Macaca mulatta: one gene and its partner. The protein of the gene in region 2 purifies or fractionates together with the protein of the main gene of each other region. This does not show direct contact. Links are inferred from orthologs where the notes say so. Each region holds a gene or a part of one and is shown on either strand. Other genes may lie near its edges. The genes, in order: DCAF7 and FAM117B.

Region 1 (3,811 bases), on a different chromosome or scaffold from region 2:
ACAAATATACACACATTTTTAATTGAGGAACCAAAGAAGAAGAGGAAAGGAGAGAAAATCTTAAAACTCAGCCCTGGGCTGAGGAGGCGCCACACAGCACTGAGTCTGCCACAGAGGGCGATGGGGTGACTGGCCAGGAACTCCTAGAGCAGCTTCTGGTAACAGTGGGTGCAAAGCAATGAAAGACATACTGGCCACTGGAAACATGTTTCTTCTTACTTTGGGGGTGGGGCAGAGGCAGGAAACACAAAAGCCCCTGCCTCGTGGGCACAGCGCCACCAACACTACACTCTGAGTATCTCCAGGCAGTTGTTGTAGCAGATGGCGATCCAGTCGGGCTGAGTTGATGCCCACTGCACATTGTTGATCTCTCCTTCAGCTGTGTAGGCCAGGATAGGGTCCTCGATGGCTCGGGGCATTTGCTGGATGTCCCAGATGAGAGCCTGGTGGTCATCCGCTAGGGACAAAGAAAGCCAGCAAGCAGGGTCACAAGTGAGGCAATGGGGATGATGATCCCTGCATTTCAGGAGCAATTCACAGTTTACAAAGCACGCATCCCCGTGACGGCGGTTCTATGTTAAGCCCCCATTTTATCGATGAGGAAACTGAGATTCAGAAATGTTAAGGCGCTATTCAGCCAAGTGAGTGGCAGAGCCAGAACTCAAATCTAGGCCCTGACTCCATCTCCCAGATGTCCCCAGGCTCTATCCACTGCACGAATGAGTCCTTCTCATCTGGGTCAGGTATCAGGAGTGGACAAGGGGATACCAAACATGTCATTTGTAGCCACTTAAAATACTTGAGTGGTTATAAAGATCCTTCCTGATCATTCAATATAATGAGAGCGTTTCTTCCCTGTTTGATGGGCATTTATGCTTCAGTGAGTTGTTATATAGAAGAAGACTGACAAAGTAGTGTTGGTATGTGCTGTTAAAAAATTCTTTCCTGGCCAGGCATGGTGGCTCACACCTGTAATCCCAGCACTTTGGAAGGCCGAGGCAGGCGGATCACTTGAGATCAGGAGTTCAAGACCAGCCTGGCCAACATGGTGAAACCCTATCTTTATTAAAAAAAAAAAAAAAAAAAATTACAAATTAGCCAGATGTGGTGGTGCACACCTGTAATCCCAGCTACTCGGGTGGCTGAGGCAGGAGAATCGCTTGAACTCAGGAGGCAGAGGTTGCAGTGAGCCAAGATGGTGCCATTGCACTCCAGCCTGGGCAACAGAGTGAGACTTCATCTCAAAAAAAAAAAAAAAAAAAAAATCCAAGAAAATAGCTATGGGAAACACCAGAAAGATGGTAATCACCTTAAATATATAAAAGCACATGAAAAATGACTAGAAGGAAATATATTAAAATGAGAATGATGGCAATACTAAGATGACAAGGTTAGGAGTTACGTTTACTTTTCTCTAGTTCCTAAGTGATCCGTAATGTGCTTATATAACTTTTTTTTTTTTTTAAATGGAGTCTTGTTCTGTCACCCAGGCTTGAGCATAATGGTGCGATCTCAGCTCACTGTAACCAACGCCTCCCAGGTTCAAGCGATTCTCCTGCCTCGGCCTCCCAAAATGCTGGGATTACAGGCATGAACCACTGCACCCGGCCTATATTACTTTTATAATCAAAATAGTAAGTTAATTTTAAAAAAAGAAAAAAAAAGGCAATGGCCTTCAGAGCTGCAGTGTACCCTGACTCTGCCATACATTCTGATGAAAGCTGGTCTCACATACACAGAAAATCTGAATAAACTAAACCCTAATAGGTCAATTGTGGGCAATACCAGTCTCCTGCCAAGGCCGCATAATCTGGGCCAGGTGCAAGATCCCTCTCCCAGAGATAATCAATGCCAAGAGGTCAGGGAATTGCACCTCTAAAGCACTAAGCCCCTTTTCCTCAATGCTCAACTGAGCACACTTGAGCAACAGTTCCTTCGGTTGAAGGGGCTCAAGGCAGGTGCAACACACAAAACAGCGAGCCGGACAAAGGGAGAAGCCAGGAGCAGAAAATGGGGCTTCTATGGGGCCAGTCCTACTTTCCATGAATAATGGATGACACCTTTCTTTTCTGCTTCTTCTATCCCTCCCTATCCACACCGCTGGAAAAAAAAAAAAAAAAAAAAAAAAAAGGCAATAATGAAGAAGACAAACCACAATCTGAGGTACAGAAGGCAGCAGCAGGCCCCCAACTGCTCTTCAAGGAGATATACAGGCATGAGCAGAGGGCCAAAATCAGGAAAAGCTTCATGCTTTCCAAATAATGCTCAAATGGCAGAAAAACACCACAGTACATTGCTTCTTGGACTCCATAACGAATCTTGTCCATTATAAGGCTACTGATCAGTGAGGAGAAGAAAAAAAAACACACTAAAAAAGTTAAGCAGTAAACCACCACAGGGCTAGGACAGAATCCTCTCAGTGCAAAAGGAAGAGGTATATAGTTGTATTTGAGGGCGTGGATGTACACCCCCAAATGTATACCAAAAGGGTCTGGAAGGAGATACATTACCTGTTGACAGAGGTCATCTATGCAGAGTGGGATGGAGGCAGAAATGATATAGCAAGGAGAAAAGATGACCTTCACCTTGCTCTAAATATGCCTCTGTACTGTTTTCATTTTTAATATCAGATTCGCAGTATTTCTACAATAAAAGTGCATTGACAAACAGCATATTTTTCTTTTCTTTTTTTTCTGAGATGGAGTCTCACTCTGTCACCAGGATAGAGGGTAATGGCACGATCTCAGCTCACTGCAACCTCCACCTCCTGGGTTCAAGCGATTCTCCTGCCTCAGCCTCCCAAGTAGCCGGGACTACAGGCGCACACCACCATGCCCGGCTAATTTTTGTATTTTTAGTAGAGATGGGGCTTCACCACGTTGGTCAGGATGGTCTTGATCTCCTGACCTCATGATCCACCTGCCTCGGCCTCCCAAAGTGCTGGTATTACAGGCATGAGCCACTGCACCCGGCCTTTCTTTTCTTTTTTTAAAATTTATTTTAGAGGCAGAGTCTTCCTTGGTTGCCCAGGTTGGAGTGCAGTGGCACAATCATAGCTCACTGTAACCTCAAACTCCTGGGCTCAAGGGATCCTCTCACCTCAGCCTCTAAGTAGCTAGGACTATAGCAATTCACCACTACACCCAGATAGTTTTTTTAACTTTTTGTAGAGATGAGGTTTCACTATACTGTCCAGGCTGGTCTCGAACTCTTGGTCTCAAGGAATCCTCCCACCTTAGCCTCCCAAAGTGCTGCAATTACAGGCCTGAGACACTGTGCCTGGCCCAACATATTTTTAAGGGGTACTCTTTTTTTTCTTTTTTCTGGAGGCAGAGTCTCGCTCTGTTGCCCCAGCTGGAAGGCAGTAGCATAATCTCTGGTCACTGCAACCTCCACCTCCTGGGTTCAAGTGATTCTCCTGCCTCAGTACCAAGTAGCTTGAACTACAGCTGTGTGTCACTATGCCTAATTTTTTTTGTATTTTTAGTAGAGACAGGGTTTCACCACGTTTGTCAGGCTGGTCACGAACTCCCGACCTCAGGTGATCCACCTGCCTCAGCCTCCCAAAGTGCTCGGATTACAGGCGTGAGCCACTGCGCCTGGCCAGTAAGGGATGCTTGCTCTGGTCTGGGAAACAGTGAAATGAAAACCACAAGTCACACACCACAACCAGGCAAAATTCTGTGAGGCCCTCCGATGTGTCTAGAGCTCACTGTCGGTTTGTTAAAGTGAAACCTGAAAGGTCCCATGGAGATGTTGATCTTCGCAGTCCCAAAGATTCTGTGACATCCATGAGAGATGCCTCCCTTTC
Region 2 (4,273 bases):
ACAGAGTGAGACGTCGTGTCAAAAAAAAAAAAAAAAATTTACTTAACTAAGTACATGTAATTTTGGCCTGCTATATATTTCCCACATTCTATCTTACACATCATGATGTCACTTCCTTGATATAATATAAAGACATGGTCTTTGGAGTACAACTGACCAAAGTTCAAATAAATACCAGCTCTGCAACTTGTTACTTAACCTCTCTAAAAGCCATAGTGAAGGTGAAATGAGATTTTGCATAAAAACTACCTGACACATAGTAAGAGTTCATCAGGTGACAGAGGTTATGAAGCGGGGAGGTGAAGTCTAATACTTTTATCACAGTTTTAGAAAAGCATTCTGCATTCTCAAAAGATTTAAAATAGTGCTCTGGACCGGGCAATCCTAGCACTTCGGGAGGCCGAGGCAGGCAGATCACCTGAGGTCAAGAGTTCCAAATCAGCCTGGCCAACATGGTGAAACCCTGTCTCTACTAAAATACAAAAATTAGCCGGGCATGATGGCGGGTGCCTGTAATCCCAGGTACTCGGGAGGCTGAGACAGAAGAATCGCTTGAACCCGGGTGACAGTGGTTGCAGTGAGCTGAGATCACATAACTGCACTCCAGTTTGGGCGGCTGAGCAAGACTCCGTCTCAAAAAATAAATAAAAATATAAATACAAATAAATAAAACAGTGCTCTAGTTCTAATTAGAAAGCACTATTCGGGCAGCTCGCGGAGGCGCACGCCTGTAATCCCAGCATTTTGAGAAGCCGAGGCGGGCGGATCACCTGAAGTCAGGAGTTCGAGACCAGCCTGGCCAACATGGTGAAACCCTGTCTCTACTAAAAATTAGCCGGTTATGGTGGCGGTCGCCTGTAACCCCAGCTACTTAGGAGGCTGAGGCAGAATCGTTTGAACCCGGGAGTTAGAGGTTGCAGTAAGCCAAGATCGCCTAACTGTACTCCAGCCTGGGTGACAGAGATTCTACCTCAAAAAAAGAAAACACTATTAATCATTTTCCAGGGCAATTATCTCTAAAAAAAGTATTATCTAAAACTTTTCATAAACAGTAAGAAAGAGTCATCCTATTCCTTCCATTTCGGAAACTATTTCATCTGAATTTGTTTCCTGAAATTCCCAACCATTCTGCCTGGAAGATTCTAACAGAACTATCCCAGTAAGGGAAAGACAAAGATATATGTTGACAAAAATGAATACATAATTAAAAACCACATATTTATTTTCTCAAGGCAACAAGATGATAAATTTTATTCCTTTCCACTTCCCACAATTTGAATTTTTCTTTTGAGTTACTCTTTATGAATGACTCCAATGGCACCCACAGCTCCATTCACGACTTTCCCCAAGAAAGCTTCCAGGTAAACAGAAAAACAACGAATGTTAGCTCCCTAAAACAATAACAAGATGGAGACAAACACTGGATTCTGTTTTTCTACATTCAAACAACAGAATCAGTACACAAAATCAGAAATACACCCAGAACCTCAGACAAAACCCATAAACCTTCCTAAGGAATCTTGCTTAATTCTCACTTCTTGCTACCCATTTATCAAAGTCTTGGAAAATGCTAAAACACGGGTCTCAGCCTCGTCTGTTCAGTGATCCAAATCTGCCACTGCTAATGCATTCAGTACCCCAGATCTGAAACTGTTCTGTGAACAGAAATACTTAGCAGCAGCAGATACGGGCTATGCCAACATTAACCTTGTGCCTAAAACAAAGTGATAAACCACTCCTAGCCTCACCCTCAAAGGAGGGTAAGCAGTAACGACTCCTCCAGGAATACGGCCAGGACGCCAGGGTTATCATTAACACTCATCAGCTCAAGCCCAAGGTTTAGCCACTGCACCTCCACCGCCAGGGAGCCGCGCGGGGCGGGCAGAGGAATGAATGAGACGGGCGGGCGGGGCGCAGGGTAGGCCCGGGAAAGGCGGGGCCGCACTGCCCGGTCCCCACCGCCCGACACCGCCCCCAGCCCCGCCCCCAGCCACCCGGGCTCCGCGGCAGCGCTGCATTCCCCGCGCGATTGCAGCGCGCGCCCGGGACTCCTTCCCGCCGCCGCCTCCCCCTCGCTGCGCGACCCCCAGCACTTACCTGCTTTGCAAACCGGGGCGCTAGGGCTCCTCTTCTCCGGCGAGCTTCGGCTCTGCTCCGGAGACCTCCTCCGATGCCGGACGCGGGCTGGGGGTGGGGCCGCGCTCACCTCGCCGGTCCACAGGTGGGTGGGCGACGAGCTGGGCGACGACACGGTGCCCAGCAACGGCGGCGGTGGCGGCGGCCGTGGGGGGCTCCCGCGAGCTCCAGGCGCGGCGCCGCGCGTGGGGCTGGTGCCTCGCGTGGACGTCGCGGACGCGCCCGTCTGCGTGGCCACCGTGGGGCTGGTGCGCGCGGCCGCGTTCCCGCCGCCGCGCGTGGGGCTGGTGCTGCGCAAGGCGGTGCGCGGGCCGCCGCCGCCGCCTGCGGGGCCTGAGGCGCCACCACAGCAGCCACCGTTGTTGTTGCCGCCGCCGCCGCCGCCGCCGCTCCGCGTGGGGCTGCCATGTTGCTGCTGCTGCTTCAGCTGGAACGGAACCGTAGCCCTCATGGGCTGCAAGCGGCTCCCGGGTCCCCCGGCCGTGGCGACCGCACCACCCCCAAGGGAGCCGGCTGGCGTGGGGGACCCATTGCGCCTCACCCGCTGGGACATGGTCCCCCCCTCCCCGGTGACTGGGCGAGACGGGGGGTTTTGTTGTTGGGCTGCAGGGGGAGGATTCTCGAGGCCGGAGGGCAGGCCCCCGCGCGGGGTGACGAAGCTGGACTCCGGGGTGCAGGGGGCGACCGGGCCGGGACCGGCAGCAACGAGGTGGTGCAGCCGCCGCCGCCGCCGCTCCTCATCAACAATAGTGTCTCCTCCGCTGCCCCCGCCCCCCACGATCGCCCATTGGTGCAGCGTCAGCCGCGCTCGAGCCGCTCTACCGCTCCCATTGGCTACGAGCAGCTCGGGTCCCGGGCCCCCGAGGCCTTGAGAGCCTGGGTGTGCGCGGAGACCGTCTGCTCTTTAAAGAGAAAGAGACCCGCCCCCCGCGGGGAGGGAGCGGAGGAAATGGGCAGTGTGTGTATGTGTAGTGTGCGCGCGTGTGTGTGTACACGTGAGTGCCCGTGTACGCGCGCGCCTAGCCACGCGCGCCTTTCCCTTCCCGCAGGGGGGAGCCCTGGGGACTCAGACTCTGGAAGGTTGCCAAAGGAAATGTCCGGACCCGGAACAGTTCCCAGGGATGGTCTGAAGCCTTTTCCGCATAACTCATTTCCTTACCCCAGTATTCACTTGTATTCACATGTACGCGCCTCTCCTTCGGGCTTTTATTCTTAATGTTTTTGTTCTGCCCTAATTCCATCTACCTATGGACAGGGCTCAAAAGGAGAAGAAATTTAACAAATCTTAAGTGGCATTTTACACCCCTCTCCTTTTCTTATTTTTTAGAGCTCTACAAAGAGGCAAATCTCAGAAAGATTAAATTTGCCTGTTAGAATGCGGTTTTAGATAGTATCTATGGAGTTCAGTTACCACATGTTATTCCTACCCTTCTGTATCTCAAGTAATCAAGACTATTTTAATCAGCTGCTTCGCTGTTCCCTGATACCTTGGAAAAATGGCTGCTACCTTACCAGTCTGTAAAATGCTATAGTTTACAGAGGGCCTTATTTGATTCTACACGATCATTGTTTGAGACAGAACTGGGCCAGCCATCCATGTTTTTGTCTAGTGGAGGAAACAAGTCTTTGGTGTGGCAAAGACCCAGGAAGGCAGGCAGTGACACTAGTTCTAAAATGGCCTAAAGGGCTCCTTATCAAGAAAATAAAAAATGGTGGACCCAAAACCTACACTCCCACCTCTCTGGCTATAAATTGCCTATCCATTACCTCTTTTCCCTGTACTATTTTTATTAGTTGTACATGCTAGACAGATTTCGTCGTGTAAAAATGTGGGAGTGGAGACCATAGTATGATTCACTCTGGACCTGAAATCCTACTGGATCCCTGTGCGCGGTGGTGGAAGACTTTTGTTTTGTTTTGTTTTTTTGAGATGAAGTCTCGCTCTGTCCCCCAGGCTGGAGTGCAGTGACTCGATCTCGGCTCACTGCAACCTCCGCCTCCCGCGTTCAGGCAAATCTCCTGCCTCAGCTTCCCAAGTAGCTGGGATTACAGGTGCGTGCCGCCACGCCCGGCTAATTTTTGTATTTTTAGTAGAGACGGGGGTTTCACCATGTTGGCCAGGGTGGTCTTGATCTCT

The links.
Region 1: the proteins of FAM117B (region 2) and DCAF7 purify together in Homo sapiens (affinity purification with mass spectrometry; 3 studies listed by BioGRID and IntAct, with this or other methods). This does not show direct contact. The link is inferred for Macaca mulatta from reciprocal best matches to the Homo sapiens genes FAM117B and DCAF7.

The regions. Positions count from the first base shown.
Region 1 is NC_133421.1:73,377,468-73,381,278, reverse strand, and holds part of DCAF7 (DDB1- and CUL4-associated factor 7), read right to left. Parts: intron 458-3,811; coding exon 285-457; 3' UTR 1-284. UniProt on the Homo sapiens protein: Involved in craniofacial development. Acts upstream of the EDN1 pathway and is required for formation of the upper jaw equivalent, the palatoquadrate. The activity required for EDN1 pathway function differs between the first and second arches.
Region 2 is NC_133417.1:107,833,218-107,837,490, reverse strand, and holds the start of FAM117B (protein FAM117B), read right to left. Parts: upstream 3,009-4,273; 5' UTR 2,690-3,008; coding exon 2,098-2,689; intron 1-2,097.